Macaca mulatta: one gene and its partners. The main gene of each other region encodes a partner of the protein of the gene in region 3 in a complex. Links are inferred from orthologs where the notes say so. Each region holds a gene or a part of one and is shown on either strand. Other genes may lie near its edges. The genes, in order: ABI1, WASF2 and CYFIP1.

The links.
Region 1: CYFIP1 (region 3) and ABI1 share a complex: the UniProt entries of both Homo sapiens proteins name them as parts of the WAVE2 complex. The link is inferred for Macaca mulatta from reciprocal best matches to the Homo sapiens genes CYFIP1 and ABI1.
Region 2: CYFIP1 (region 3) and WASF2 share a complex: the UniProt entries of both Homo sapiens proteins name them as parts of the WAVE2 complex. The link is inferred for Macaca mulatta from reciprocal best matches to the Homo sapiens genes CYFIP1 and WASF2.

The regions. Positions count from the first base shown.
Region 1 is NC_133414.1:28,110,493-28,120,773, forward strand, and holds the end of ABI1 (abl interactor 1), read right to left. Parts: intron 8,171-10,281; coding exon 7,985-8,170; intron 5,096-7,984; coding exon 4,920-5,095; 3' UTR 3,237-4,919; downstream 1-3,236. Other genes in the region: all trans-polyprenyl-diphosphate synthase PDSS1, read left to right, coding at 2,682-2,822. UniProt on the Homo sapiens protein: May act in negative regulation of cell growth and transformation by interacting with nonreceptor tyrosine kinases ABL1 and/or ABL2. May play a role in regulation of EGF-induced Erk pathway activation. Involved in cytoskeletal reorganization and EGFR signaling.
Region 2 is NC_133406.1:213,457,113-213,468,062, forward strand, and holds the start of WASF2 (actin-binding protein WASF2), read left to right. Parts: upstream 1-4,399; 5' UTR 4,400-4,583; intron 4,584-5,114; exon of another isoform or gene 5,115-5,222; intron 5,223-9,218; exon of another isoform or gene 9,219-9,359; intron 9,360-9,404; exon of another isoform or gene 9,405-9,533; intron 9,534-10,702; exon of another isoform or gene 10,703-10,827; intron 10,828-10,878; exon of another isoform or gene 10,879-10,950. UniProt on the Homo sapiens protein: Downstream effector molecule involved in the transmission of signals from tyrosine kinase receptors and small GTPases to the actin cytoskeleton. Promotes formation of actin filaments. Part of the WAVE complex that regulates lamellipodia formation.
Region 3 is NC_133412.1:1,422,343-1,432,674, forward strand, and holds part of CYFIP1 (cytoplasmic FMR1-interacting protein 1), read left to right. Parts: intron 1-1,025; coding exon 1,026-1,103; intron 1,104-1,293; coding exon 1,294-1,395; intron 1,396-2,576; coding exon 2,577-2,758; intron 2,759-6,420; coding exon 6,421-6,517; intron 6,518-6,606; coding exon 6,607-6,735; intron 6,736-7,285; exon of another isoform or gene 7,286-7,770; coding exon of another isoform or gene 7,771-8,000; intron 8,001-8,148; coding exon of another isoform or gene 8,149-8,869; exon of another isoform or gene 8,870-9,302; intron 9,303-9,689; coding exon 9,690-9,794; intron 9,795-10,332. Other genes in the region: uncharacterized protein LOC144329802, read right to left, coding at 7,771-8,000, 8,149-8,869. UniProt on the Homo sapiens protein: Component of the CYFIP1-EIF4E-FMR1 complex which binds to the mRNA cap and mediates translational repression. In the CYFIP1-EIF4E-FMR1 complex this subunit is an adapter between EIF4E and FMR1.

The DNA of each region.
Region 1 (10,281 bases), on a different chromosome or scaffold from region 3:
GATCCAAAAATATACCACATTCACAAAACAAGACAGGATCAGACTTTTTAAATGAGTAAGAGCAAGTTCTAAGAAACTGGAAATGACTGCAGAGCAAACTCCAAAGAACGTCTGCAATGTGAAATTGAGGAAATCCTCCCAAGTGTAAAACAGAAAGGGGGAAATAGTGAAAATAAGAAGAGCTACAAGGACCGGTGCCATCATGTAACAAGTATTTCGGGAAGAAAATTAAAAAGTGGTCACTTATGCAAGAAAAAGGTGTCAAAACTGGCTCAATGAATAGCAAAAATACTGGGTGCTAGAAGGCAGTGGAGGAAGGTCTTGCAAATAATGATTAAACATTTTAAACCTAAGATCCATTATATCTGAAGGCAAAAGAAAGTCACCACACATCGGGACTAAAACACTGACTTCCCATAAATACTTTTTCTATTTTTCTGAGACGGAGTCTCGCTGTCGCCAGGCTGGAGTGCAGTGGTGCACCGCGGCTCACTGCAAGCTCCGCCTCCCGGGTTCAAGTGATTCTTCTGCCTCAGCCTCCTGAGTAGCTGGGAACACAGGCGCCCGCCACCATGCGCGGCTGATTTTTGTATTTTTAGTAGAGACGGGGGTTTCACCATGTTGGCCATTGTGGTCTCGATCTCATGACCTCGTGATCCGCCCAGCTCGGCCTCCCAAAATGCTGGGATCACAGGCGTGAGCACCACACCTGGCCTGCGTGAACACTTTCTGGGTAGGTTATTTGCAGATGTACTTCAGCAAAATGTGTGGAAAACACTGAGAGAAGGCAGGCTTCTGTACAAAAAGGAACAGCAAACTAAAATGTGTCATGTTTTGAGCAATTGGTATAGAAAATCAGATTTCTTTCAACCACAGTGTTAGGAATATTCTATTTCTAAATGTCAGAGGGGTCTGGGCGCACTGGCTCACGCCTGTAATCCCAGCACTTTGGGAGGCCGAGGCGGGTGGATCACTTGAGGTCAGGAGTTTGAGACCAGCCTGGCCAACATGGTGAAACCACGTCTCTACTAAAAATACAAACATTAGCCAGGCGTGGTGGCACACGCCTGTAATCCTAGCTACTAAGGAGGCTGAGGCACGAGAATCCCTTGAGCCTGGGAGGCGGAGGTTGTGGTGAGCCAAGATCACACCACTTCACTCCAGCCTGGGCAACAGAGCAAGATTCTGTCTCAAAATAAATAAATAAATAAATAAATAATAAATGTCAGAGGGATCATGAGCCATGGAGAAGGAAACAGAATTATAGTATATGACTTGATTCTGCAGTAAATATTTTTACATCATAGAAATGATACTTTATTAGTATTTGGCTTTTAGAAAGAACCAATATTTTAAAACATGGTTACAGAATAGAATGTAAATATCCATAGTCTAATAGTATAGTTAAAGGACAGGACAGGAGCTCATACAAGATAAAATCAGAAGTTGATGCTACCTAACAGAAGCAATCAACAAAACAACTAAAGACAGCAGTGTCATGATCAGGAGGCACAATATGGGAGGGCTAAATCCTCATCTTAATAAAAAGGTAACAGATAATAACTAAAACTGGCAATCAAGAAATAAAAACTAGGCTGGGCAAGGTGGCTCACACCTGTAATCCCAGCACTTTGGGAGGCCAAGGTGGGCAGATCACTTGAGGCCAGGAGTTTGAGACCAGCCTGGGCAACAAGAGCAAAACTCCATCTCAAAGAAAAAAAAAAAAAAATACAAAAAAAAAAAAAAAAAAAAAATTAGCTGGGTGTGGTAGCTCATGCCTGTAATCCCAGCACTTTGGGAGGCCGAGGTGGGTGGATCACCTGAGGTCAGGAGTTCGAGACCAGCCTGACCAACATGGAGAAACCCTGTCTCTACTAAAAATACAAAAAAAAAAATAGCCAGGAATGGTGGCACATGCCTGTAATCTCAGCTACTAGGGAAGCTGAGGCAGGAGAATTGCTTGAACCTAGGAGGCAGAGGTGGTAGTGAGCCGAGATCGTGCCATTGCACTTCAGCCTGGGCAACAAGAGCAAAACTCTGTCTCAAAAAAAAAAAAAAAAAAATACAAAAATTAGCTGGGTGTGGTGGCATGCGCCTGTAGTCCCAGCTACTTGGGAGGCTGAGGCAGGACAATTGCTTGAACCCGGGAGATAGAGGTTGCAGTGAGCTGAGATCACGCCGTGCACTCCAGTCCGGGTGACAGAGTGAGACCCTGTCTCAAAAAAAAAAAACAGAAAAAGAAAAACTAATGGATAAAGTGAGTGCCTTTGGAAGAAAGGAACCTTTCTTCATAAACCCTCTGTACTTTCATTTTGTTATGTCTTTATTCTTTATAAGTTTTACTTGTGTTTTTTTTACATTTAAATGTATAACAATACTTTGTATGTAGAACTTTTGAGAAAGTCAAGTAAAAGGGGAAAATGGATGACCACGTAATATTGATGAGCTAGTTGTTTTGCATGCTAATAGAATAAAAATTTGCTTCAATATGAGAAAAAGGCCTAAAGGAAGTTAGCACTATGAGTCGGGAAAAGAACATTAGAGATGTAGTTTGACTGTTGAAACTGTAACCCTCAGCTCATCTGATCTCAAAACTATGTGTTCATTTATTATAGCAGGAAGTTAAAATGCTGATTCAGTCAGTGACAGGCATCTGCTCTGTTTTGTTCTGTATCTCGTAGAGTGATGGTGTGCAACAAACAACCTACCTCGCCCAGCAGTACTGCCATGAAGCAATAAGAGAGATCAGTAAACTTCGACCATCCCCAGAAAGAGATGCCCTCATTCAACTTTCAGAAATTGTCCTCACAAGAGAGAAATGACAACTCTTTCTGTTCTTTCTGGCAGCTATCTTACCAGACTGTGCCTAAAGAATTTTGTGGAATACACTTTGTTTGCTTCATGTGCAGATAACCAAAAATCATTTTAAAAGATATCAAACTTATTGATGGGCAATTTATTTTTTTTATTGCAAAAGTTTTTTCAGAAAACTTTTTAAATGTAATTAAACCATCTGAATCTGTCATTCTAGTCCTATAAATTATAATCGAGGTATCTTGATGGTTATATGTGGTATTGTTTACACTGTTAATATCCACATGTAAGGCCATTACACAAATAAATAATCGATGTTAAAATTCAAATGGTTTGTCTTGATTTACTGTGGGAGTAAAGATGAGAAAAATGTGAAGTCTGCATTGAAGTCCACATTAGTTATATTTTAACAGTATCCAAAGTTTCATATAGGAGAATGGTTTATTATAAAAGACTGTACATAAAATTTAGACAACAGGTTATATACAAATTAAGAGAACAATCCACTTCAAAAATGGAAAGTAGAAGGTAGCTAGCTGATCACTAATGATACTTTGTTTAAAATTAACAAAGGCAAAATGCGTATGAAATAGTCACATTGATTTGGTAGCAGTAATGGTCTTTAATTTTCAGAAATAACTGTTTTGCACTAGTCTTACCATTCACTATGGTGTTACAAGTCTGTAACGTCCAGTACATAACTGTAATTTGAATTCCAAACAAATCCTCAATAACACAGAAACCCACACTTGAGTGCTCTACTTTAATATCCTAAGCAATATAGAATTATACACAAGAAGAGAAAACATCCCTCAGCCCTCCCTTAAATTAAGAGGAGACACACAAAGTGCATGTGTTGCATTTTGATTATGTCAAAAGACAATACAAGTCTGTTCATTAGGTAAATCTCTGTTCACTGATTAATACATGACCCACCTTCTTTCCCAATTATTTTATTTTAAAATTCTAATGTTGCTAGTGCCAGGTAATGGATTAAATAGTGCCTATTCACAAATCAACTGTATCCACTTTTACAATATGTAAAAGGTACTTTTAACTTCCTTTCATTGAACCAGTGTACAACAGTCCACTGCAAAACTGAAGGACATGGCAATCCTTACGAATTTTACTTACAGAATGAATGCACACAATTTGACACATTTTCTTAGCTTCAAAAGATTCTTTAAAAAAGGAATTCAGTAGATTGACTTGTAAATAACCATTGCAGATTTTGAATCTGCAAAAACCCGTCACATTGCTGTTGGGACAGATTAAGATAAGGCTAAAATTTTTTTCCAAGTTAACATATTGAGAAAATAGAACCATAATTCTGCAATAAATCATTATCTTTTATTTTTTTTTTAAAGCAAACCAGTGAAGGAAAGGACAAAAACCTTTGGTTCACTTATGTATTTATGAATGGAAAAAATTTATAATGCAAATTTCACTCATTAAAAAACTTAGGTACAAATTACAACATTACAGATAATTCTCTTTTTGCTTCTTTTGTTTCACATGGAGACCCTTGGAGACTCAATTCATGTTAAGACACCTAAGTATGAGTCCTCCAGGTAAATATTACACAAATGGGAAGCATCTTGGAATTTTTAAGTATATTTCAATACATAAATTTTTATGCATGCTTTAAACAAACAGTATTTTTTTAAATGAGAGAATCTAACAAAAAAAGTCTGACCAGCACCAGCATTTAAATTTTCTGATTTTAATATTAGTCTGACATAGCGTTAGTAATCATGCTGCACTGAAACATGTAATGGTACAATCTGAATAATGATTTGTTAAATATTATACCCCACTTCCCCCAGAATATTTAGGCTGGTCATAAAGTTAAAAATGTGTAAGTAAGTACATAAGCATAATCAGTTATGGACAGCTTCTTGTATAAATTGCTATTTAGCAATACACAAACTGCCTCAAAGATTTATGCTTACAGGTAGACATTCAATTTACCAATAAAACAGCATGTTCTGAAAATATGGGCACATTTTAAAACATATTAAGACAGTTCTGTTAACCATAATTGTCCCACAGTATGACTGAGTAATAAGAATCTACTTTAAAAGCAAAAAAAAAAAAAAAAAAAATTAATCAGTATAGTGCATGATTGATTCAACATAGTTCCCAGGGAACAGACCAGTCACTCGATTGCAGACTCCTTCATACCAGCCATCATCATTCTTCTTTATAACATAAATGATTGCACCCTCCATAAATGACAGCTCATCATCCTTGTCTTTTGTATAATCATATATTGCAACAACTATGGAAAAAAGAGTTGAAATATCACATGAATGCACTATATCCAACATTTACTTGAATTTTAAGACAAAGCCAATTAAATATATAGCACAGCAAAACCATTTTTATGAAGATTTCTTAATTTTTGTATCTATCAATATAAGTAGGTCAGTGCCAACCATGTACTTATATCATTGGCTTAATCTAACCATGTACTTAACCATGTACTTATATCATTGGCTTAATTAAGAGTCAAATGACAATCTGATTAGACTGAACAGGTCAATAGGTTCTGTCAATCACTTTAAGAAAGCTCTCTGAACTTCAGAATTTATTAGATGTTTCAATTCATTCAAATACCAAGTGCCTATCATATACAAAGCACCGCTTTTCGAAATAATTATCAGGCAAAGCTGCATAGCCATTCAGTAAACCAGGTAACAACCCAAGCTATCTAATTTGAAAATACACAGTCACTGGAAGGTAAATCACATCCTACTCATTCAAGGACCCATGCTAATTTAAGGTACTGTTCCCAGATTTTTTAAAAAGAATATTTACTTACTTCAAAGGATTTTAATTAATATTTAGAGAACGTGGCAATTCTGTGGTGTCTGTAATTCTTTTCAGTTCAAGATACAGGTTGAGTAACCCTCATCTGAAATGCCTGGGATCAGAACTGCTTTGGATTTGGGTTTTTTTTCCAGACTTTGGAATTTTACATATAGGTAATGAGATACTATCTTGGAGATGGGATCCAAGTCTAAACACAAAACTCATTTTTGTTTCACATACACCTTACACACATAGCCTGAAGGTAATTTTATTTTTCCCTTGGGAACACTGAATAAACTGTGTCATGTGCCTGCGTTCTGACTGTGACCCATCACATGAGGTCAGGTGTGGAATTTTCCACTTGCGGCATCATGTTGGAACTCATTGTGGATTTTGAAGCATTTTGAATTTGGGACTTTCAGATAGGGATGCTCAGCCTATATTCACTTCCTTTGCAAACTGCTGTGGAAAGCAATCTAAAGTGTATCATGGCCCATGGACAAATCCAAACCACTGCATTTTTTGTAAATAAAGTTTTATTGCAATATGGCCACATCTACTTACTCATGTACTATGTCCTCTTTTACGCTACAACAGTAGGACTGAGTAGTTGTGACAGAGACTGTATAGCCAGCAAAGTTTAAAATATTTACCATCTGGCTTTATACCAAACAAAGTATGCTCACCCCTAGTTCTTGGGAAGATACTTTTTAATCCTCTACTATCAAGTATATTACCCGATATGTCATTCCAAATTTGTCAACTTCTATAAATATGGTCCCATTTTCATAATTAAATTTGCTTTACCAAGAAAGAAAATATGGGTAAAAACACAATTCAAGGCCACTCAAGTTTATCATCCTCATAAGTAACAACAGCTCTCTATTTGAAGGTATATGGGAATCTAAAGTAGAATATTTAAGACTTTCTTAACAATATGTAAATTATTTACCGTTTAAAAATATAAGGCCAGGAGTGGTGGCTCACACCAGTAATCCCACAACTGGGAGGCTGAGATGGGTGGATCACTTGAGGTCAGGAGTTCAAGACCAGGCTGGCCAACATGGCAAAACCCCGTCTCTACTAAAAATATAAAAGTTAGCTGGGCGTGGTGGCGGGCACCTGTAATCCCAGCTATTTAAGAGGCTGAGGCAGGAGAATTGCTTGAACCCGGGAGGCAGAAGTTGCAGTGAGCCAAGATCGCACCACTGCACTCCACACTGGGAGACAGAACAAGACTCCACCTCAAAAAATAAAAAAATATAAAAGGAAAACAAATTTACTTTTGCCACATATCCAAAACTTGGGCAGGAAAGAATGCTGCTGGTCTCAAGAGCTACAGCTACTTGCTTAAAGACTGTTAACCCAATAAAGTCAATAGAAGGAAATCTATCAAAGGCAACCAAAAGTGTTCAACTAAATTACAAGCATTTTTCAGAACTCTATAGAAATACAGATTTGATTTTATTTTTAATTGATTCCCATTTCTGCAAAAAGAAATACAGATTTTAAAATAGCACAGAACTAGATGAAAAAATAAAAACTAGAAACAGGATTTGTTTCTTCCCCACCTATATTTCTTAATAGATAATTACAGTGAATATTGGGTACTGTAGGTAAATTACGACTTTATAGTAGTTCATAGTTTCATGAAATATAATCCTGGTAATTTGTCTTCTCTTTTATAAAATCACCTGACACCTTAATTGAGGCTTTTCTCATGATAGTACTAATAAATTTTTAAAGACAGATGCTCCTCCACTTCCATATGATGGGGTTATGTCCCAATAAACCCACTGTTTAGTGGAAAATATTGTAAATTGAAAGTACGTTTTCAACCTATAACTTACATTTTTTACTTATAACAGGTTTATCCAGACAAAGCTACATCATAAGTTGAGAAGCATACTGAATGCATATCATTTTTGTACCATCATAAAGTTGAAAAGATCCTAAACTGAACCATTGTAATTCAGGGACCATCTATATTTAGATATGAAAGGTCATCAACAGAGCTTGACAGAACTTTTAAAATCTTTACTAATTACATATAACTCCATTTTTGTGCCTTAGCTGTTTCATCTACAAAATGCCATCCAGCAAGTTAATCTTCAGCTGAACACATATGTAGTTTGAAAGCAAATCTAACACTGCAATTTTAATTTAAAATACAAAGAAAGAATCACCCTGTACACTGGGAATAATACAAAGCTTAGGAAGTAAGGTTTAAGTAAATCATCTTGGCTGGTAAGGCAGTTTAAAAAGCTGAGAAACATTGGACTAGATGTTCTTTATAGTCCTAAATTTCTACAATTAGGTTATATTCCTTCACATCAATTCAATTATTGTACCTTACCTTTCTCAATATAATTCTTGGGGGCCCAAGCAGGATCCCCATCTGCATATGGATCATTATACTGAACTACTGCAGCCTCCTCATCTTCATAATCCACTGGAGGTGGTGGTGGGGGAGGTGGAGAGTCATCAAACATGGGAATGTCATCTGGTGGAGGTGGTGGCGGTGGAGTTGGACTATCAGCAACTAAAAAGATTCATATGATTGATTTGAATCACAAATAAGTCTAGATGGAAAGTTATAAGTTAACAGAATTTAAGAAAGCTCTAACTTAAGTACAGCATGCACTATAATAAAACATGCAATGATTAGAAATAAAAGCTTGGTGTGTTAAAGTTTATGCTACTCAAGAATCATTTAAAAATAACAAAATGAGCTAAAAATAAGTGTATCTGGAAGTATTACAAATTAATGAATGCAGGGTGTTAGGAGACAATGTCTCTTTTTATAAGGATTATAGGAGTAGTTTCCTTATTCCAAGGTTCAGATCGGGACAAATGTTAACAACCTAAACTAAATCTATGTCACTTTTGTCATTTGGACTGCAGTAAACGATATGAGTAACATTACATTAATGGTTTGATCACTTTTCACTCTGCTCATTCATGCCCGATTTTGGCTTGAAACAGCTTTGGTTCCCTAAAAATTGAGTCTCCCATGGACAGATTTTTGTTTCTTTGCTGATTATTGTTTGTTTTGATGGAGAGAAAGTTAAAGTTGGTGGTATTAGGTCTGCTTCTGTGTATAGATTTTCTACTCTGTTATTTACATTTTACAAGTTGAAAAAATGGAAAAAGAATCCCCAACCAGTAGAAAATCTAATTGAATATTTTTTAAAATGTTTATATTCATAATCAGTTTTTTTGTAGAAAGCAAGCTAAAATTTTGCGTTATTGCTAGTAAAACATAAGCACGGGATGAGGGCAAGCCTAGATCCTAAAGATTCAATTTTCTAAGAATACATCAACAATTAAGATTTAAACATAAAGTGTTGAAGATGTAATTAAAAAAACAAACAAAAAGAAACTTATAGTAAACAAAACAATAAAAATGACTCATACCTCAAACTCTAGATGGTCGTGGTCAGTATATATGTGTGTGCTTTACATAGTCAAAGGTGTAAACAGGGAAATGGGAAAATGTCAGGCTAGAGCTCTGTTCAATGAACTAGCTAGCATAATATCAGGTAAAAATGCTCCTATTACTTAAAGAATTCAAAGCTGGAACCCAACTAGTGCTTAACTTAAATTTCTGATCCATAAAATTCTTTAAAAGTTCAAAAGACATATGAAAATGTTTTCATACAGATTGATACGGGAATTATATAATTCCTGCAGGGGAGAAGTTCATAATACAAACACACTAAATCAAATGCCAATTTCTGGGGCTATTTACGTGATCAAAGAAATCAGCCGTAATCTATTTGTCATACAGGTTTAAACGTTTACCCTCCTGGGAATAATGTGCTGAATATACAACCAAGGGCTCCAGGTTTAAAATATTTGCAGATAATGACCCTATTTTTATAACCACTTCAATGCTGTGATTTCTATTTTATCCTCTTGAGGGATGAAAGGGCTATTAGAAAACAAATCTTGTATGGTAATGCTCACTCTAACACCTATCAAACGGGTCTACAATTAAATTTTCTGCCTCATTCCTAGATCCATTTTATCGTTGTCCATAACTTCCTCTATAAAACTTTTTAATATTATTGAGGACAGGAAAATGGGTATGGACCCCTCCCAACATCAAACAGCCATAGTTCATATCCTTAGTTTGGCTTAATGTGTAAATTATATATGTGGGTACTTTGAATTTACTCTCGATTTATCACACTAGTTCAATGTTTTCACGAAATTGTCTTTATGTCCAACTGTTGTAAATCTACATGTCTTATCTTCAAATTATGGCAGAAGTCTTGGTTAATCTAATTCTCTGCATAATCATAAAGAGATGCAAACACACTGCTGACTTTTTTAGAGGCTGGTATCTTAAATTGAAACACTTATTAATAGGCTAACTGCTACATGCATTCATTATCACCCACTTTGAGTGTCATAATAAACTGGGTATTTAAGAGAAGAACACATAAAATTTGTACTTCATAAAACATTTAAAGTGCTGATACATATTTTAACACCAATCTTCCTAACATACTTTCAAAGAAAACAGAAACCAAATAAAGTTAGGGAATCTGTGGCACAAGGAGAATCACTGACCCAAGTTCGTATGTTTGGTAAAAAGAACTAATACCAAGAGCCTCTTTAGCAAAGACCACACATGCCTAGAATAAT
Region 2 (10,950 bases), on a different chromosome or scaffold from region 3:
CTTGAGCCCGGGAGTTCAAGGCTGCAATGAGCCATGATTGCACCACTGCAAGCCAGCCTGGGTGACAGATTAAAACCCTGTCTCAAAAAAAAAAAAATTAAGTTCAGATGACAACTTGTCCAGTTCATGGATGTGTGTATCAGCTTGAACCCAAACCATCTGCTCCAACTGCTGCCTCAGGCTCACTTCCTTCCATGCTGGGAAGACCAAGCATTGTTTACTGAGCAACTTTTATGTGCCAGACAATTTACATATATTTCCCATTAAATCCTCACCCCCGCCTTATGACCCTCTATTGTTATCCCCATGCCTTAGAAGAGTAGCTGAGACACAGTGAGGTTTGATGACTGTTCAGGTCACACAATCCTCTGTGAGTTGGCAGAGCTAAGATTCAAACCCAGGTCGGTCTGCCTCAAAGCTTGCATTCTTTTTTTTTTTTTTTTTTTTGAGATGGAGTCTCTCTCTGTTGCCCAGGCTGGAGTGCAGTGGCCGGATCTCAGCTCACTGCAAGCTCCGCCTCCCGGGTTTACACCATTCTCCTGCCTCAGCCTCCCAAGTAGCTGGGACTACAGGTGCCCGCCACCTCGCCCGGCTAGTTTTTTTGTATTTTTTAGTAGAGACGGGGGTTTCACTGCGTTAGCCAGGATGGTCTCGATCTCCTGACCTCGTGATCTGCCTGTCTCGGCCTCCCAAAGTGCTGGGATTACAGGCTTGAGCCACCATGCCCGGCCAAAGCTTGCATTCTTTCAGGGACTATAAGAAAAGTACAGAGACCCTTGATGAACAGCACCACTTTATTTGTTTATTTATTATGTTTTTAAATAAATGAGATGGGGATCTTACTTTGTTGCCCAGGCTGGTCTCAAACCCCTGGCCTCAAGTGATCTTCCCACCTTGGCCTCCCAAAGTGCTGGGATTACAGGCAAGCCCCCACTTTCAAAGCTGAGTTTCCTCCCCTGTAACATCCTCACTCATTCATTAACAACCATGATACTTTCCTTGGTGGCCCACAGGACCTGAGTGCTCCACCCTTCCTCCCCACTGCCACTATCCCCATTGGTTTCCATGCCTTTCCACACCATTTCCCTTGGCCTGCGACACTTTTCCCAACCTCTAGTTTATTCAAGAACCCCAGGCCAGGTGTGGTGGCTCATGCCTGTAATCCCAGCACTATGGGAGGCCAAGGCAGGTGGATCACTTGAGATCAGGAGTTTGAGACCAGCCAGGGCCACATGGCGAAACCCCGTCTCTACTAAACGTACAAAAATTAGCTGGGTGTGGTGGCACATGCCTGTAATCCCAGCGACTCAGGAGGCTGAGGCACAAGAATCGCTTGAACCCGGGAGGTGGAGGTTGCAGTGAGCCGAGATTGTGTCACTGCACTCCAGCCTGGGTTGTAGCCTGGGTAACAGAGCAAGACTCTGTCTCCAAAAAAAAAAAAAAAAAAAAAAAAAGAGCAAATGAACCCCCATTCATTAACTCACCTCAGACATCATCTCTTCAGGAAAGTCTCCTTTGACCCCACCCCATCCCCTGACATTCACTCTCATAAACACATTGCACTTTACCTTCTGCTTCCTTATCTCAGTTTCTGTTTTTGATTTGTCTGATCATTTGGTTAACAACTTTCTTCCTTCCCAGACTTTAAACTCCATGAGGGTCTGAGTCTGTTTTGCTTGCTATTGTAGCTACGCCACTGTCAGGCTGCCCTCGATGTGGGTGCTTAATAATTTTTCACTGAATGGATGAATCCATGAATGAATAAATAGCTACCAGGCACTTTATATACATGACTCATTAATGCCACAATTAACTCATTGAATCCTCACAACTGCCCTTTTGTAATCATTTCAGAGAAGAAGTAGGTGAGGCTCAGAGAGCTAGAGAGTGGTGGCGCTAGGACTCGATCTCAGGTCTGCCTAACCCCAAAGCCACTGCCTTCGGCACAGCTGCCTCCCAGCACCCAACAGCCACAGCCAGGATTTAAATAGTCCTCGGTTGTCAGACCACATGTCCCAGTTTGAGCCTGGAGGACACCAATTCGGATGGCACCAGGGCCCTGCTGGCACCACCCCCTTGGCTGTCTCTGCCCTTCTGAAGTCTTAGGCTGCTTCCCCTCCCACTCCCTTCTTGGCCTCCTTCCTTTCCAGGGAGGGAAAAGGACTAGGAATTACAGCCAAGCAGCTCTTCTGGGAAAAACAATCCTGTGGTGAAAAGAGGCCTGTTCTGAGAGCAGAGAAACCTGGATTTAAGTCCTGGCATGGAGGCAGCCCTGCTGAGGGCTCACAGTGGCATCACTGCCCCCCTCTGAGACTCTCCATCCTCATTTGAGATTCTGCGTAGGTTCTCGACCCATCTGTCACCCCCTTTTCACGTCCTGACTCCTCGGACCCCAGAAACAGCCTGGGCACACCCCTAGTGTCACTTTTCTTCAGGAACCCTGATGGTTAACAATAGCTGGGGGGTGGCCTGTGCCCAAGTCTATGTTGATCAGAGAGATGAGGGACTGGCCTGGCACCCTTAAGACCTTTCCTGGAATGCTAAAGGGATGCGTGAGGGAAGAGTGCGGGGGGCGAGGGGAGGGAAGTCATTCTCATATGATAATAGGCCTGAAAAGGGAGAAATACAGGAGTGGAAACCAAAAGATACAGGTTTGAGTTCCGGGGCTGTTTCAAATTCCCTGGAGGACCCCGGGTAAGTCATGCAACTTCAGGAAGACTCAGTTTTCTCTTCTGCAAAAACGAGGGTAATAATCTGCCTTACAGAGTTGCCCTAGAGAACCAAGTGAGGTATCTTTGCTAACGTGTGAATTTGTCACATTTCTATCTAGCTGCGGCCTTTTTTTTTTAGACTCGTTCTGTCTCCCAGGCTGGAGTGCAGTGGCATGACCTCGGCTTACTGCAACATCCAACACCCAGGTTCAAGCGATTCTCCTGCCTCCCAAGTAGCTGGGATCATAGATGCGCACCACCACGCCCAGCTAATTTTTGCGTTAATAGAGGCAGGGTTTCTTTTTTTTCTTTTTTTGAGACAGAGTTTTGCCCTTGTTGCCCAGGCTGGAGTGCAATGGCGTGATCTCGGCTCACCGAAACCTTCATCTCCCGGGTTCAAGAGATTCTCCTGCCTCAGCCTTCCGAGTAGCTGGGATTACAGGCATGGGACACCATGCCCGGCTAATTTTTTGTATTTTTAGTAGAGACTGGATTTCACCATGTTGGCCAGGCTGGTTTCAACCACCCGACCTCAGGTGATCCTCCTAGAGGCGGGATTTCACTTAGCCAGGCTGGTCTTGAACTCATGACCTCAAGTAATCCACCCGCCTCGGCCTCCCAAAGTGTTGGGATTACAAGCATGAGCCACCGCGCCAGGCCTTTTTTTTTTTTTTTTTTTGAGACGGGGTTTCGCTCTAGTTTCCTAGGCTGGAGTGCAATGGCGTGATCTCCGCTCACTGCAACCTCCGCCTCTCGGCGGAGAATTCAAGCGATTCTCCGGCCTTAACCTCCTGAGTAGCTGGGATTACAGGGATGCGCCACCACGGCTGGCTAATTTTGTATTTTTAAGAGACGGGGGTTTCTCCAAGTTGGTCAGGCTGGTCTTGATTTCCCGACCTCAGGTGATCCGCCCGCCTCGACCTCCCAAAGCGCTGGGATTACAGGCCAGAGCCACCGCGCCCGGCCAGCTGCAGCCTTTTATAATCAACAAGACGATCATATTCCCCACTCATGCATGAATCCTCAACAAACACTCCCGCATGTGAGGCACAGACGACTGCTCCTATTTTGCAGAAGGACAAACTGAGACCCAGATAAATTCTGGAAGATGTCTGAGGTCGCAGAGTGAAGTGGCTCAACCAGGGATCCGCTCACTTTGACCATGGCTTTTCAGTACTATCCCCCATTCCCAGCACCCGGGCCTCACCCCACATGGACAGTGCAGGGCGGGCTAGAGCTTGTGACTCACTCTCCCCACCCTACTTTCTGCCCCGGCTGAGACCGGAGTGAAGGGACAACACCATCTGCAACTTGAGGGGTGTCCACAGAAAGTTTACGGGCTTGGCCCCTTCCTTTCGCCAAATATAGCGGTTCTTTGAAGGCTAACAAGAAGAATTAATCTTTCAACACACTCTGTACGAGGTTTTACACTCTCTTCGGTGAGTTTTCCCTACTTTGAACTTAGGAGTCCGTTTGCCTTAATCTCTGCCCCCCACTTCACTTGGTTTGCACCCCGCTGTTTACTCGGATTGCGGAAGTCGCCCGGGTGGAGCTCCGGGGAGGGTACCCGTGAGTACGTCTTTTGCGTAGTTATTTAACTGGCATTTTACTCAGGCCAATGGAATGCCCCGAAGCCCCGGGTGGGTTGGGCAGTGAACCAATCAGGGCCATTGGCGGGGTGTGGCTGCGTCCCAGGGCGGGGAATACCGTAATGGCGGACACGGGCCGGGCGAGCGCGGCTGGGGGCGTAGCGCGCTGAGGGGGGTCCGGCCGTGTGGCAGCCCGCGAGGCGGTCCGCGGGAGCACACTCTGTGCGGAGACTGTGCGGCCGGCCGGCCTTTCCTGTCGCTGACGGCGACTGCGGGAGGCCAGGTGAGCAACAAGTCCCCTTGGGTAGACCCCGCCGGGAGGCGCGGGCCCCGGCCGGGCCGCTCCTCCCGAGCCGCAGGGTTCCGGGGGAGTGGGTGCCGCGACTCTCACTGCGGAGTGGCAGAGGCTGGGCGAGTGGTCAGCGCGGGGTGGTGTTTTAGTCCACCCCACCCCCTCAGGGAGGGAGGGAGTGACCCGGAGTCCCCTTCCGAAACTTGGAGGGGTCCGCAAGTCTGAGGGACTACGAGTGTCCCGACCTGACCTGGTTCTGCCATCAGCTCCCTGTGTGATCTTGAGCAAGTCACTTTCCTCTCTAGGCCTTAGTTTCCCCATGTGTAAAACGAGGGTTTCGTTGGCAGATGTATGTACAGGAGTTGGGTCCCAGCTGTTGTCTGAGATCTTGGACAAGTTCTTCCGCAGGCTGAGCCTCAGTTTCCATCTCTGGACCACGAAGTAACTGAGGTGCTCGTTGAGGCCCCGACCTGCTAAATATTGAGGAGCGGGAGGAGGGCACTGTGTGTGTGTGTGTGTAAGAGTGCGTGTGGGTGTGTGCGCGTACAGGATGGTCTGCAGAGTAAGGAGGAGAGTTGTCTAAAGGGGCTATTCCAAGGAGGACGTGGGTGCTACCCAGACCATGATGGGGTGAGTTGGGGTCCTCTTGGTTCTCCAGGAACGCTAGAGCCTCTGAGAGGGGAAGTTTTAATACGGTTGTCCATAGAACCAGAGAAGAGGAAGGACTCCTTGGAGCCCCTTGGGGCTCTGATTGGAATTTAGGCCCAGAAATCAGGAGGGTTAGAAGGAGGAGGAAGAACTTTTATGGCAGCCCTACTAGGTGCCAACCCTCGCTTAGGCCTATGAACTTTTACAGTGACCCTTGAGAATTTACACATAAGGAAACTAAGTTTCAGAGGAGTTAAGTAACTTGCCCAAGGTCACACAGTAAAGGGCAGAGGTTACTTAACTAAATTGTTTCCTCTCAGAATCTCTAGGCAAGGGGGAAGTCACTGCCCACTTAAAAGATAGTGTTAGGGAAGTTTGCCTTGTTGCAGATGGGGGCAGAGGTCTGGCCCCAGGTATGTGATTTGACTTCTGGCATGGGGACAGTCTTGATCTCTGGAAGGTTAATTATAAGTCCAGCCCCTTTATCCAGTCTGTAAGTTGGAAAGAACTATTTGTAAGTCGTAAAAGTCACTTTGAAGTGTGTCAGATCCTCAGAGAGCTCCATTTGAATCCTGGTAGGGTTGCCTGTAGAAGAAAGTTCAGCAGCTGTTGGTGTGTAGACTAGACTTTGGTTCAGGGTGGTGCCAGCCCATTCACTTTTCTCCTCCATCAGAGGGCCACATTTTCTTGGGATGGGAGAAATTTCCCATTTTTTAGTTCAAATTTCTTTGGATTTCTTGGGGTGAAAGGTTCAATAGCCCGCCTCTGATTAAGCTTAATACCCCTTTCTTTGTGCAACCTGTTATTTGACTTCTAAAGAGTGAAGATTGTGGATCTGAGGTAGGTGGTAGTTGGGTACAATAACTTGCTGCCCTTAATTTTTCCAAACCTCAGAGCTTTTGATTAATCAGAATGGTAGGAATGGCTATGGGTATTGTTCTCATATGTGAATGGTGGAGAAGAAAACTGGAAGAGGAAGTTGCTGAGAAAAAGGGCGTTTCTTAGCAGTGGAGCCAGTATGTATTTCTTTGTTTGAAATTCTAAAACCAGAAAAGCAGCAACTAAAGGAGGAAGGAAGGAAAGAACTGTGAAACTCTTTTTCCCGTTCAAATATCTTTAAGAACTGTTCCTGTCTCTAGCCATGTCCCAGGCTCTACTTTCATAGAAAAAGTCAATTGTAATTTGTTCAGAGTTTTCTTCTAGAATGAAATAATTTTAAATCTTAAAACCTCTGAGAATAATTGTTTAAAAATCAGAGCATTTTATTGAGTAAGTTATTTACAGTGGATTATTCTTTTTCTCAGCATATTACTAATTCGGTCTTATATATAAAATATATAATATAATAAAAATATATAATATAAAATAAATATATATAAATATAAATATGTAACATATACAATATATATTATAAATAATATATGAATTTATATATAATACATAAATATGTCATATATCATAAAATATATAATATAAAAAATTTATATATAATATATAAATATATATTATATATAAAAATATATAAAACTTATAGTATATAATATATAATACATATAATATATAAAAATATATGTATTATATATAACAAATATATATATATATCTGTCACCCAGGCTGGAACGCAGTGGCGTGAGCTCGGCTCACTGCAACCTTTGCCTCCTGGGTTTGAGCAATTCTCCTGCCTCAGCCTCCCAAGTATCTGGGACTACAGGCATGCAACCCCACACCTGGCTAATTTTTGTATTTTTTAGTAGAGATGGGGTTTTGCCATGTTGGCCAGGCTGGTCTCAAACTCCTGACCTCAGTTGATCCACCTGCTGCGGCCTCCCGAAGTGCTGGGATTACAGGCGTGAGCTGCTGCGCCCGACTGAGTCTTTGGCTGTATTTTAACTGTGATTTCAACCTAAGGAATTGATTTAGATATTACAGGATGCAAATATCACCATCACTTGAAAAACACATAATAATGTGTTTGGCTTTTGACACGTTAAGTCTTTTATTTTCTTTTTTTTTCTTTTGAGACAGAATCTTGCTCTGTTGCCCAGGCTGGAGTGCAGAGTGATCTCAGCTCACTGCAAGCTCCGCCTCCTGGGTTCATGCTATTCTTCTGCCTCAGCCTCCTGAGTAGCTGGGACTACAGGCGCCCGCCACCACGCCCAGCTAATTTTTTGTATTTTTAGTAGAGATGGGGTTTCACAGTGTTAGCCTGGATGGTCTCCATCTCCTGACCTCGTGATCCGCCCGCTTCGGCCTCCCAAAGTGCTGGGATTACAGACGTGAGCCACCGCGCCTGGCCTGACATGTTAAGTCTTTTTATGCTTTATTTTCCAGGATTGTGTGTACATGATAGTTGTGAAGACCCTGAATTTATTGCACGTGAAGCTCTATTAATACATTAATTCTCAATGTGTTGTATTTTCTGTAAAATAATTAGTCTTACTTGGTATACCAGTTCACAGTACCTTATTCAAAATCCTTGGCGCCAAAAAAAAAGTTATTGGGACCAAATGTATATCCAAATTTAAAAATTTTTGGATTTTTGGGTTTTGGAAAATAAATATGATACTATGTGTTATGTAATACCCCAGAGAGGTCAGGGCAGCACTTTTTAAATCAGATGCATTATTATTTCTGTAGTAAAATATCTGGATGTTCATACTAACTGGGATAAATAAATACTGCACTATTATTAGCCTTAAGTCATTTCTTGTCAGGTTTTGCCTCCAAATGAATAATGAAAAACCTATTTTTCACAGCCTTTGAATTTTGGAGATAAAGTGAAGGGATTTTAGATCTCTATAGGAAAAACTTACATGACAGGCCGGGCATGGTGGCTCAAGCCTGTAATCCCAGCACTTTGGGAGGCCAAGGCGGGCGGATCACGAGGTCAGGAGTTCAAGACCAGCCTGACCAACATGGTGAAACCCCGTCTCTACTAAAAATACAAAAATTAGCCGGGTGTGGTGGCGCCCGCCTGTAATCCCAGCTATTCAGGAGGCTGAAGCAGGAGAATCACTTGAACCCAGGAGGTGGAGGTTGCAGTGAGCTGAGATCACACTACTGCACTCTAGCCTGGGAGACAGAGCGAGACTCTGTCTCAAAAAAACAAACAAAATTACATGATAACAAGAGCAATTACAAGGAAAAATATTGTATAGCCCAGCTAATTTCAAAGTCATGGGTCCTAAAAATAATATTACATAGAAGACACCTTTTTTTGTTTCTGTCATACAGAAATCTTACTGTGATTAAAATGTGCCTGATAAGCATTTTTCCTTAAGTACCACAATTTATCTTTTAATATCTTCACTGGTCTCTGAAATGTTAGAATGACACCCTCCACCTCTTTTATTTTTAATTTTTAAATTTTTATTTCTTTTATTTTCTTTTTTTCTTTTTTTAAACAGTAGAGATGGGCTTTCGAAATGTTGCCCAGGCTGGTCTCAAACTTCTGGCCTCAAGTGTTCTTCCTACCTTGACCTCCCAAAGTGTTGAGATTACAAGTGTGAGACTTCACACCCTGCCCCCACCTCTTATTTAAATAGTAATTTGTAGGGTCTTTGCTCATCATTTTTTTGTGTAGCATTTAAGAGAATTGTACTTTTTGCATATAATTCAGAGAAAAACAAATCAAATGCAGATCTGTAGATTCATGTTTGCCAATTTTTTTTTTTTTGAGACGGAGTTTCACTCTTGTTGCCTAGGCTGGAGTACAGTGGTGCAGTCTCGGCTTACTGCAACCTCTGCCTCTTGGGTTCAAACAATTCTCCTGCCTCAGCCTCCTGAGTAGCTGGGATTACAGGCATCTGCCACCACGCCCGGCTAATTTTTGTATTCTCCAAGTTGGCCAGACTGGTCCCAAATTCTTGACCTCAGATGATCCACCCACCTCGGCTTCCCAAAGTGCTGGGATTACAGGCATTAGCCACCGCGCGTGGCCATGTTTGCCAAATTTTAAAGCTGATTTTTTTCCTTTAGAGTATTCTTTTTTTCTGAGATGGAGTCTCGCTCTGTCGTCCAGACTGGAGTGTAGCGGCACGATCTTGGCTCACTGCAACCTCCACCTCCCGGGTTCATGCCATTCTCCTGCCTCAGCCTCCTGAGCAGCTGGGACTACAGGTGCCGCCACCATGCCCAGCTAATTTTTTTTTTTTGTATTTTTAGTAGAGACAGGGTTTCACCTTGTTAGCCAGGATGGTCTTGATCTCCTGACCTCGTGATCCGCCTGCCTCGGCCTCCCAAAGTGCTGGGATTACAGGTGTGAGCCACCGTACCCAGCCTAGATAGTATGAGGTAAAAACTGTGGATGAGATTTGGGTCAAAATTTTGTTTACTTTTAATTTATGAAACTTCCACAATTTGCACATCTTGGTGTAAGGAGTTTACTAAAATACATTTAATTTTGAGTATTTTTATTTTAAGTGTATGCTATATGAGAAACTTCTGTTTACCAGCCATATGAATTTGGGTGGTTTCTTTAAATGGCCAAGGGCCTCTACTAGCACATTTTCAATAACTCAGGCTACTCTTAGTTTTCTCGGACATCTCTACTGTAGAGTGAGATGGACTGGTATTATTGGAGGATGAAGAATTATTTTTTCTCTTTAGAAGAAAGCCCCATGACAGCATGGATTTATGGAATTCTGTCCTTTAAGAAACCACGTAGTTGCCTGGTTTGAGGGCCTGAATTCATCTACCTACTTGGGGTGGCTCCATAGTTCCTAAGAATGGTACCTTCACTGTCTTGGAGATACAAGGGATGAGAAGCTGTATCCAGAGTTGCAGGAGTATGATTGGACTTGGGAATGGGAAAAATTATTATTGTTATTATTTGAGACAGGGTCTCACTCTGTTGCCCTGGCTTGAGTGCAGTGGCAGTATCACAGCTCATTCACTGCAGCCTCAACCTCCTACGCTCAAGCAGTCCTCCTCTTGCCTTAGCCTTTCAAATAGCTGAGACTATAGGTGCGCGCTACTATGCCCACCTAATTTTTAAGATTTTTTAGAGATGAGGTCTCACTATGTTGCACAGGCTGGTCTTTTTTTTTTTTTTGAGACGGAGTCTCGTTCTGTCACCCAGGCTGGAGTGCAGTGGCCGGATCTCAGCTCACTGCAAGCTCCGCCTCCCGGGTTCACGCCATTCTCCTGCCTCAGCCTCCCGAGTAGCTGGGACTACAGGCGCCTGCCACCTCGCCCGGCTAAGTTTTTGTATTTTTAGTAGAGACGGGGTTTCACTGTGTTACCCAGGATGGTCTCTATCTCCTGACCTCGTGATCCGCCCGTCTCGGCCTCCCAAAGTGCTGGGATTACAGGCTTGAGCCACCACGCCCGGCCCCAGGCTGGTCTTAAACTGAGCTCAAGCCATCCTGCTGCCTTGGCCCCCTAAAGTGCTGGGATTACAGGCATAAGCATAAGCCACCATGCCCAGACCCCTCACCCCCTTTTTTTTGTTGTTACATGAGATGGAATCTCACTCTGCCACCCGTGCTGGAGTGCGGTGGCATGATCTCGGCTCACTGTAACCTCTGCCTCCCGCGTTCAAGGGATTCTACTGCCTCAGCCTCCCTAGTAGCAGCTGGGATTACAGGTACGCGCCACTATGCCTGGCTAATTTTGGTTTTTTGTTTTTTATTCCGAGACGGAGTTTTGCTCTTGCTGCCCAGGCTGGAACAATGGCACGATCTCGGCTCACTGCAACTTCTGCCTTCCA
Region 3 (10,332 bases):
CAACTATTTTTGCACATTTACTTCATTTCCTCTTTTATGTCATATAATTAAAAAAAAAAAAATGCTGTAGGCCGGGTGCAGTGGCTCACACCTGTAATCCCAGCATTTTGGGAGGCCAAAGTGGGCATATCACCTAAGGTCAGGAGTTCGAGACCAGCCTGGCCAACATGGTGAAACCCTGTCTCTAATGGAAAAAACATACAAAAACTAACTGGGCATGGTGGTGCACGCCTGTAATCCCAGCTACTCGGGAGGCTGAGGCAAAAGAATTGCTTGAACCCAGGAGGTGGAGGTTGCAGTGAGCTGAGATCGCGTCACTGCACTCCAGTCTGGGTGACAGAGCGAGACTCGTCTCAAAAAAAAAAAGCTGTGATGAACATGTCTCTAATGTGATGAACATCTCTCTAAATATAGGCTAGATTTAAGAGCATCTATTTGATTTTTACCAAAGGAAATGATGTTAAAGAGTAGAAAGCAAAAGCAGTTTTATAGCAGTGATGACAGTCCTCTTCCCATGGACTCTCCACCTAGATTTTAAGTGCTGTGGGCACTTAAATCCTAACTATTCCTCCTGCACACCTGGGGCAGCCCTGCCTCTAGTCCTCTCTGGGACTGGGAGGCCCTGTGAGCCAGTGAGGAGGGAGGCCATGGGGATCCTGCATGTGCTCACACTGGGCAGGGCGTCTGCCCTGAGCCCTTCCTCTGTGCTCCCGACTGCAGGTCTCATGGCCAGCGATTGTTTCGGGCTGGGCGGAGCCAAGGTGTAATGCCTGTGGCATGCCCCAGAGATGCCTGCATGTCACTGATACCCTCTCGCCTGCAGGAGCCCTGGCGCGTTTTGGGTGGTCATTGTGGCCCCCAGCGCCGCACCTCAGCGTTACCAGCTTCTCGGCAGCTGTCTCTTGGCACACAGGCCACAGTGCTTAGGATAGTTCATGGTGCTTTGTCTAGATTTTAGCAACTGGCATCTGCTTTTCATGCTAGTTCCCCCTCCTGCCTTTGATTTGCCCTGTGTTCCGTTGCAGAACGAGATGCTGGAGGAGGGCCAAGAATATGCTGTCATGCTGTACACCTGGAGGAGCTGCTCCCGGGCCATCCCGCAGGTGCCCTGCTCGCCTGTCTCTTCCCTCCCCACACCCTGCCGTGCCCCACCCCGCCCCGCCCCTGCAATGCCTGGCCACTCTCCTCCCGGGTCTCACCCCACAGCAGGGCGGGATCACCAGCTCTAGCTGCCCAGCAGCTGCTTCTGGCTGGATCCAAGCCTCTTATGTCATCCTTGTTTCTTTATTCCAGGTGAAATGTAACGAGCAGCCTAACAGAGTGGAAATTTATGAGAAAACCGTGGAGGTTCTGGAGCCTGAGGTCACAAAACTGATGAATTTTATGTACTTCCAGGTAAAATGGCAAAATCCCTATCTTGGGGGTGTAACACCGAGGGGTGGGTTGCTGACACCTTCCTACCCATCGCCGTCAATGTGAACACCCTGAACAGAGTGCCTGCAAATTAAAGCAACCAGTTTCTGAGACAAAAGGGACCAAGCCTTTGACAGTCTAAAGTTTCTCACGCCCTTTTGGAATCAACACTCCTTTTGTGGTTCTCAGAATTCTCAGTGATTTCATGTTTCCTTCACGGAGTCTGCTTTCTGTCAGTTTCAAGTACAATGCTTTGACTTTCTGCCAGTTTGTACTTTCTTTTTTGAGACGGAGTCTTGCTCTGTCGCCCAGGCTGGAGTACAATGGTGCAATCTTCGCTCACTGCAACCACCGCCTCCCAGGTTCAAGTGATTCTCCTGCCTCAGCCTCCCGAGTAGCTGGGATTACAGGCGCCCGCCACCATGCCTGGCTAGTTTTTGTATTCTTAGTGGAGACAGGGTTTCACCATGTTGGCCAGGCTGGTCTTGAACTCCTGACCTCAGGTGATCCACCCATCTTGGCCTTCCAAAGTGCTGAGATTACAGGCGTGAGCCACCGCACCTGGCCAGTTTGTACTTTTGATTCATCTGGTCTTTCAGGTATTTTCTTGCTGTCAGCCTCACCCTGACTGTCCATTCCTGGTGGTCCTCGCCCTGGCCTTGATTAGGCAAGAAGCAGCCACATGAAAGGGGTCTGCTGCTTTTTAAAGAAGTATTTTGGAAACATCCAGATTTTCTATGATGTCCATTAGCAGAGGGAGGAGATGGAACTAACTAGGAGATTAATTTTCATTTTACCTTGAAAGTTACCAAGAGGAAAAAAATCTCTCCCACTTTTCACTTCTGAAAGTTAGAACGTATGAATTTTGCAGACGTTTTCTTGGATCATTTTGCTCAGTAATTTTGCTGGAATAATCAGCAAGATGTTGTTACTTTAGTGACGTAGTTGGTAAAGTGCAAAACGAGTAACGACGTTGCAGAGCAGGCCGTCGGAGCTGCTTTCAGGAGGGGGTCTGGCTGCCCACATTGTAAACACCTGGGCCCGAAGCCGCGCGGGGCAGATTTTTCTCATCAAGGAGCAGTGACTGCAGGTGCTTGAAGCAGGGACATGGGCTTGGCCCCTCACTGACCTGCAGCTTTCTGCCCCCCGCTTCCTCTGCACAGAGAAACGCCATTGAGCGTTTCTGCGGGGAGGTGAGGCGCCTGTGCCACGCCGAGAGGAGGAAGGACTTTGTGTCTGAAGCCTACCTGATCACACTGGGCAAGTTCATCAACATGTTCGCTGTGCTGGACGAGCTGAAGAACATGAAGTGCAGTGTGAAGAACGACCACTCAGCATACAAGAGGTGAGCACCGGCCCCGTGCGCCGTGGGCCTTCCCGAGAGCGCGCAGCTCAGTGGCCCGCCTCGTGCGTAGCAGGTGTGTGTCTTTGTGTGTTGAAGTCGTCACTTCTGGTAGGCAGCGGCTACTTCTCGGTGTCAGGGCTGTGGGAGCACCTGCTCTGGGGGATAAAGTGAGGGGAGCCAGCAGGTAAGTGCATATCATGGCTTTGCAAAGCTAGAGCAGACTCTTAGTGCCCTGGCTGTCCTTCGATGTCACGGAGGACCTTCGCGCCCCTGGGAAGACAGACGTGCACAAGCTGTAGGCCTAGCTCACAGAGCACAGGCATCTGGCTCAGGGAGCATCTTGGCAAGGGGGCAGGTGGCCTCTGCAGCCCACCTTGGGCATTGGGGCTGCAGTCCTCGGTGCCAGTCTCTCGCCGGTGGGGGTCCCCGGCACCTGAGCACCATCCAGCAACGTGCAGACGTAGCCCATGCACAGTCACAGGGTGTCTTGGGGTCACACTGCGTTTCCAGGTCCTCTCCCCGGCGGTTTTCTTTTTGGATGTAGAGAGCTTCTGGAGAAGCTAGCCTCTGGAGAGACCGGCAGGAGGGATGGAAGAGGCGGGCATGGCCCGGCGTGTGCTTCCGGAGGATTGTGGGGTGGTGGGCGGCAGACAGGCGTTCGGGGACACACGGCGCTGTCTCCTGATGCTCTGCTTCGTTTGTGCCCGGTGCTTTTGAAGACATGTTTTGCTGGAATGAGATGCTAATTTCAGTTTCCTCTAGTAAGTAAGGCATCTTAGCTCTAAAATTAAATTCGAAGAGACCTTACTTTGCATCTGAATACGCTCTAGTTATGTTGCATTTTAAATCATACAACTGTTGTTATGTCTTTATAAAAAGAAAAATCCCCACTTGGGACAAAATGAGGCAGCAGTAGGAGTCAAGCTAGGTCAGGCAGAATTTAAGCCTCATTCACGTGAACTAAGGCAGTGTTCCGTTATCACTAAAATCGTCAGCTCTGCACAGAAGCCTAGATCTTCAGAACTAGAGAAGGGTCTCCGGAGTGGGCCTGTGAGCCCCTCTTGGGGCGGACGTCTGAATGGTCCCTGTTTGATGACAGCATCCGTGGGATTCCAGCATCGAGGCTCACTGGTCGCAGTGGCCTCCTGGTCCCAGCCGCACAACCCAGTCGCTGTGTGATTTTGAGCAGCCTTCTTAGCCACCACCGTTTTGGCTTTGTCAGGGAAATGGGGAGGTGGCCAGCATCAGTGGTTTTCAATATTTAAAAGTTGTGGGGTTTTTTTTTCCTTTTAGCACTAGCACCTTTATTCTAAAGCCTAGTCTGTAAAACAGTTTACAGATGGGGCCGCTGTGTGCAAAGCTGGGAGAAGGAGGGTTTCCCCTCCAGCAGCCCCGTCCCCAGTGTCTTCACCACCTCCAGGTTCCCCTGAGCACCAGAGAGTGGGCCTGGGCCAGCTCCGTAGCTCTTCCTGCTGCCTCTTCTTCTGACCTCTGTCTGGGACCCCTGTTGGTTCACCCTCCCAGACCATCACCCCCACCCCTCCCAAGACGCCCGCCACACACACACGCACCTAGCTCTTTTGGCACCTGCTGGTAGCTACTAGTATAACCTCCTCTAAGTGCCAATGCCAAGATAACTCGTGTGGTTATGGTGAGGCTTGAGGAAAATAGAAAACAGTATCCTTGACTGTTTCCTTAGTCTCCTCACCTGCCGCCTCAGCAACTACTCAAATCAATAAAGCAAACGTGGCGAGGTGCGATGGCTCACACCTGTAATCTCAGCACCTTGAGAGGCTGAGGCAGAAGGATCACTTGAGCCCAGGAATTTGAGACCAGCCTGGGTAACATAGCAAGACCCCATCTCTTAAAAAAAAAAAAAAAAAAAAAAAAAAAAAAAAAAAAAAGACAAAAGCAAAAAAAACTAGCTGGGTGTGGTGGCGTGAACCTGTGGTCCCAGCTACTGGGGAGGCTGAGGTTGGAGAATCACTTGAGCCCAGGAGGTCGAGGCTGCAGTGAGCTGTGATTGTACTACTATACTCCAGCCTGGGTGACAGAGTGAGACCCTTTGTCTATTTAAAAAAAAAAAAAAAAGGAAACATGTTTTTGTTGTTGTTGTTTGTTTGTTTTGAGGCAGAGTCTCACTGGCCCAGGCTGGAGTGCGGTGGCACAATCTCGGCTCACTGCAACCTCTGCCTCTCCTGGATTCAAGCAGTTCTCCTGCCTCAGCCTCCCAAGTAGTTGGGATTACAGGCGTGAGCCACCACACCTGGCTAATTTTTGTATTTTTAGTAGAGATGGGGTTTCACCATGTTGGCCAGGCTGGTGTTGAACTCCTGACCTCAAGTGATCCACCTGCCTCTGCCTCTCAAAATGCTGGGATTACTGGCATGAGCCACCATGTCCGGCCGGGAAACATGTTTAAAAAGCCAAGGAATGTTACTGTATCAGTAACATTAGGTTTACAATATTAAGTTTAACTGTATGCAATTGTTTAAAACCCAGTGAAGTAACAGTGGCTTTGAAAAGATTGCAGTTTATTTCTCTGTCTCCTGGAAAGTCCTGAATGAGGTGGTCTGCAGCTGATTGCAGGCTGTCCGGCGTTCAGGACTCGAGGCTCCTGTTGGCCTGCTGCTCTGCTTCAGGTGTTGCCTCCTGGTTCTAGATGGTTGCTGAAGCTCCAGCTGTCATTTCTGCATTCCAGTCAGCAGGCAGAAAGGAGGAAAGATGGGCTCCATGCTCCCTTATGAGTAAACTTTGGAGTGCCTGTCAGTGTCTTGCATTATATCTCATGGCCCCAGTCCTTGGTCACGTGACCACAGCTAGCTGCAGGGTAGGCGAGGTACATGGAATGTGTGAGGCTCCCTGGAACGTGTGTTCCACAGGAATGCGGGGCTCATTCCTAAGGAGGAAGAGGAGGAAGTGATTGTTGGGGTAGGTTATCAGTCTTTGCCATGGTGACTTTTAAAGCTAAACCCCCAAGGCTCTGGGTTGCACAGACCTATCCTTGTGTGGGCCGTTTCCACTGAACTTTCTTGGGGGACAGCCCTAGATGATGGGAATCCTCACACCCCACCTTCACCCTGCTCTGCCAGACCTCGTGGGCTCAGCATGGCCTTGTGGTATTGTATGTCGGGTGTAGCTACAAATTGGTGGCAGGCCAGGGCTCTGTCTCAGGACTTTGGGTACCAGTGGTCCCTGAGGTGGCCTGGGGAGCTGTGGTCCAGAGGGTTCCCGGCAGAGAACCTCAGCAGTGCTGGCCATCTTCATGGCAGGGCTTGTGGGAGTCACGGAGATGGCAGTGGCCCTTCTTAGACTTGGGGTCCAGCCAGCCCTGTGCCCCCCTAGATGAGGTGGGCATCCACCAGTGAAGGGCAGAGACCAGTGTGCAGGGACCCTGCAGGAAGCCCATCGGCTGTGACCAGCAGGGTGGAGAGCTGTCCCCAGCTGTGCAAGACACGTCTAAGTTGGCAGAAGACTGACCTGGAGGGCAGGGCCGGAGACGCCTGAAAAGGCTGAAATCATCGCCAGCGTCAGAGGTTGACCCACATTTCTGCAGATGACTGTAGAGGAAGGGGATCCCACTCGAACCAGGCTTTTATTTTTTTTATCTTTTTACGTGGCACATAGGTGCATTTTGGGATGAACTCTTCTTGTTTTCAAAGGGCCGCTCAGTTTTTACGTAAAATGGCAGATCCACAGTCCATCCAGGAATCGCAGAATCTGTCCATGTTCCTGGCCAATCACAACAAGATCACACAGGTGAGGCTGGTGTTCGCACACTCGGGCGGATGGGCCGAGCCGCTGGCCGGGCGCCGGGCCCGTGCGTGAGTCTCTTGCTTGTGTTTCAGTCTCTGCAGCAGCAGCTCGAAGTGATTTCTGGCTACGAAGAGCTCCTGGCAGACATCGTGAATCTGTGTGTGGATTACTACGAGAACAGGATGTATTTGACGCCCAGTGAGAAACACATGCTTCTCAAAGTACGTGTGTGGGGACGCCAGCCTGTGGCACTGCTGAGGGACAGCCTTACTCTTGTCAATAGGCTGTGCTTTTCTAGAATCCTTTTGACAGCTGTGTCTTACTTGCACGGTGTCTTGTGTGTGAACAGCGTTCTGCCCTTGCCCACAGCCTGCACAACAGGCTCTCAACACACCCCACGAGTGTCACACACTGACCCTGGGAGAAGGTGCTGGCCAGGATGTCTGGGTCAAGGATTCTCTCAGCATTGAGCTGCTTTTTGTTTTATTTTTGAGGCAGGGTGTTGGGCTCTTGCCCAGGCTGGAGTGCAGTGGCATGATGACAGCTCACTGTAGCCTCAACCTCCTGGGCTCAAGTGATCCTCCCACCTTGGCCTCCAAAGTAGCTGGGACTACAGGTGTGCACCACCACGCCTGGCTAATCTTTAAATTTTTTGTAGAGGGAGAAAATTGCCATGTTGTACAGGCTATCTCAAACTCCTGGGCTCAAGTGACCCTCCTGCCTCAGCCTCCCAAAGCTCTGTGAATACAAGCTTGAGCCACTGTGCCCAGCCTTTTTTTTTTTTTTTTTCTTGAGACAGGGTCTTGCTCTTTCACCCAGGCTGGAGTGCAGTGGTGTGGACACAGCTCACTGTAGCCTCGACCTCCTTGGCTCAAGTGATCTTTCTGCCTCAGGCTCCTGAGTAACTGGGGCCACAGGCACTTGCACCAATGCCCAGCTAAGTTTTTGAATTTTTGTAGATACGAGATCTCACTTTGCTGCCCAGGCTGGCCTTGAACTCCTGGGCTCAAGCCATCTTCTTGGCTTGTCCCCCCGCAAAGTGCTGGGATTACAGGTCTAAGCCACCACACCCAGCCTTTAAGCTGCTTTGTGACAGCTTAAAGTTAACTTAAAGAAGTTATCCAAGATTCTACTTGTCAAGCATGTGATTCCTGGGACTCTGATACCTTGTGTCACCATAATTAAAGTAGCCTTTTGTTGGTTCACCATATTCTTTATTATTCTGTTCAAATGAAGAAGGTTTCCATCTGCATTTCTCACGGGAAAGATGGTCGGCAGTTCCACCGTTCCCTTTGCTCTGCTCTCCACCTCTGCAGGGTGGCCTTGGGGGACCCTTTGCTGGGTGTCCCACCAGCCCAGCCCCCAGCCTCCTCCTGAGTAGGAGAGCACTGGGAGGCATGCAGGGCTGAAGGAGCACTGTCCATGAGCAGGAGATCATTGGGAGGCACGCAGGGCTGAAGGAGCACTGTCCATGAGTAGGAGAGCACTGGGAGGCACGCAGGGCTGAAGGAGCGCTGTCCATGAGTAGGAGAGCACTGGGAGGCACGCAGGGCTGAAGGAGCGCTGTCCGTGAGTAGGACAGCATTGGGAGACACGCAGGGCTGAAGGAGCACTGTCCGTGAGTAGGAGAGCACTGGGAGGCACGCAGGGCTGAAGGAGCACTGTCCATGAGTAGGAGAGCACTGGGAGGCACGCAGGGCTGAAGGAGCACTGTCCGTGAGTAGGACAGCACTGGGAGACACGCAGGGCTGAAGGAGCACTGTCCATGAGTAGGAGAGCACTGGGAGGCACGCAGGGCTGAAGGAGCACTGTCCATGAGTAGGAGAGCACTGGGAGGCACGCAGGGCTGAAGGAGCGCTGTCCATGAGCAGGAGAGCACTGGGAGGCACGCAGGGCTGAAGGAGCGCTGTCCATGAGCAGGAGAGCACTGGGAGGCACGCAGGGCTGAAGGAGCGCTGTCCATGAGCAGGAGAGCACTGGGAGGCACGCAGGGCTGAAGGAGCGCTGTCCGTGAGCAGGAGAGCACTGGGAGGCACGCAGGGCTGAAGGAGCGCTGTCCGTGAGCAGGAGAGCACTGGGAGGCACGCAGGGCTGAAGGAGCGCTGTCCGTGAGCAGGAGAGCACTGGGAGGCACGCAGGGCTGAAGGAGCGCTGTCCGTGAGTAGGAGAGCACTGGGAGGCACGCAGGGCTGAAGGAGCGCTGTCCGTGAGTAGGAGAGCACTGGGAGGCACGCAGGGCTGAAGGAGCGCTGTCCGTGAGCAGGAGAGCACTGGGAGGCACGCAGGGCTGAAGGAGCGCTGTCCGTGAGCAGGAGAGCACTGGGAGGCACGCAGGGCTGAAGGAGCACTGTCCATGGAGTGCTTTGTGACAGCAGAGACTTTGGGTCTGCACCAGCTGGTGTGGGAGCTGTGGCCGCCAGGTCCTGTGGAGCACTGGAGTGTGCAGGTGGCTAGTCTACATTAAGAATTTTTAGTTTGTGACCAGGCACGGTGGCTCATGCCTGTAATCCTAGCACTTTGGGAGTTGAGGTGGGTGGATCACTTGAGGTCAAGAGTTCTACACCAGCCTGACCAACATGGTGAAACCCCATCTCTACTAAAAATACAAAAACCATTAGCCAGGCGTGGTGGTCATGGGTGCCTGTAGTCCCAGCTACTTGGGAGGCTGAGGCAGGAGAATCACTTGAACCTGGGAGGCAGAGGTTGCAGTAAGCTGAGATGGTACCACTGCACTCTGGCCTGGGTGACAGAGTGGGACTCTGTCTTAAAAAAAAAAAAAAAAAAAAAAAGAATTTTTAGTTTGCATACACCGAAACGTAACTGGTTACATGTGACTGCATATTGGACATTACTTTTAATGGCAGAAAAACCGCAATTACTTTTACACCAACCTAATAGCCCTAGAATAGCCCTACTGCTTGTGTGAGTTTAGGGTAGAGGATTTGTTTTTTCCGCTTTTAGCAACTGACCTGGAAGCCCAGCCCCGCTTTGTAGCAGTTTCACTGAGGATAAAATGATGCATTTCAAGCACCAGACAAGCAGCCTAAATATAGATCTTTATGATATATTTCAAATTGTGCCTTTGAAATCGTCAGCTGTAACAGTGTAAGTCCTTACGGGTAATTAAATTTGCAGTTGTGAGCTTTATTGCATCATTCATTTTGTGGCTTTTCAGGTCATGGGATTTGGTCTGTACCTGATGGATGGGAGTGTCAGTAACATCTATAAGTTAGATGCCAAGAAAAGAATAAACTTATCCAAAATTGACAAGTACTTCAAGGTGAGTTACATGGTTTTAGATCAATGTTTTTATTGATTTGCATGCAGTTTGAATTTTGGGGAAGTGAGCCCCTGTGTGACCATGATCTATATCAGGAAATGCTGGGGCTGGGTGGAGTCTGGGCCACGCATGTTCTCCTGTCTGCAGAGGCAACCGCGCTTTGTCTTTCCTTCTGCCCGGTGCTGGTTTTGCCTGGGTGGAGCTTTATACAGATGGAATTGTGCTATTTTACTCTTTTGTGTCCGGCTGCTGTCACCAGCCTCTTGTTTGTTAGGTGCATCCTGGAGGAAGCCCATAGCTATAGCTCATAGCTTTCGGTTGTGGTGTAGTTTTCTGTCTCACAACCACACCGTAACTTGCCCGTTCCGATGTTGGCGGGCTCTCGGACGTTCCCGGGTTTTGGTGAGTCCAAACAGTGCAGCTCTGGTCGACTCTCCTCTGTTGGGTGCATACCCAGGAGAGGGACCGGAGGTCACAGGGCGTATCTGTTTTCAGTGTTAGTAGTTACCTGTGGCCTGATGACTTTCCAGCATAGCTG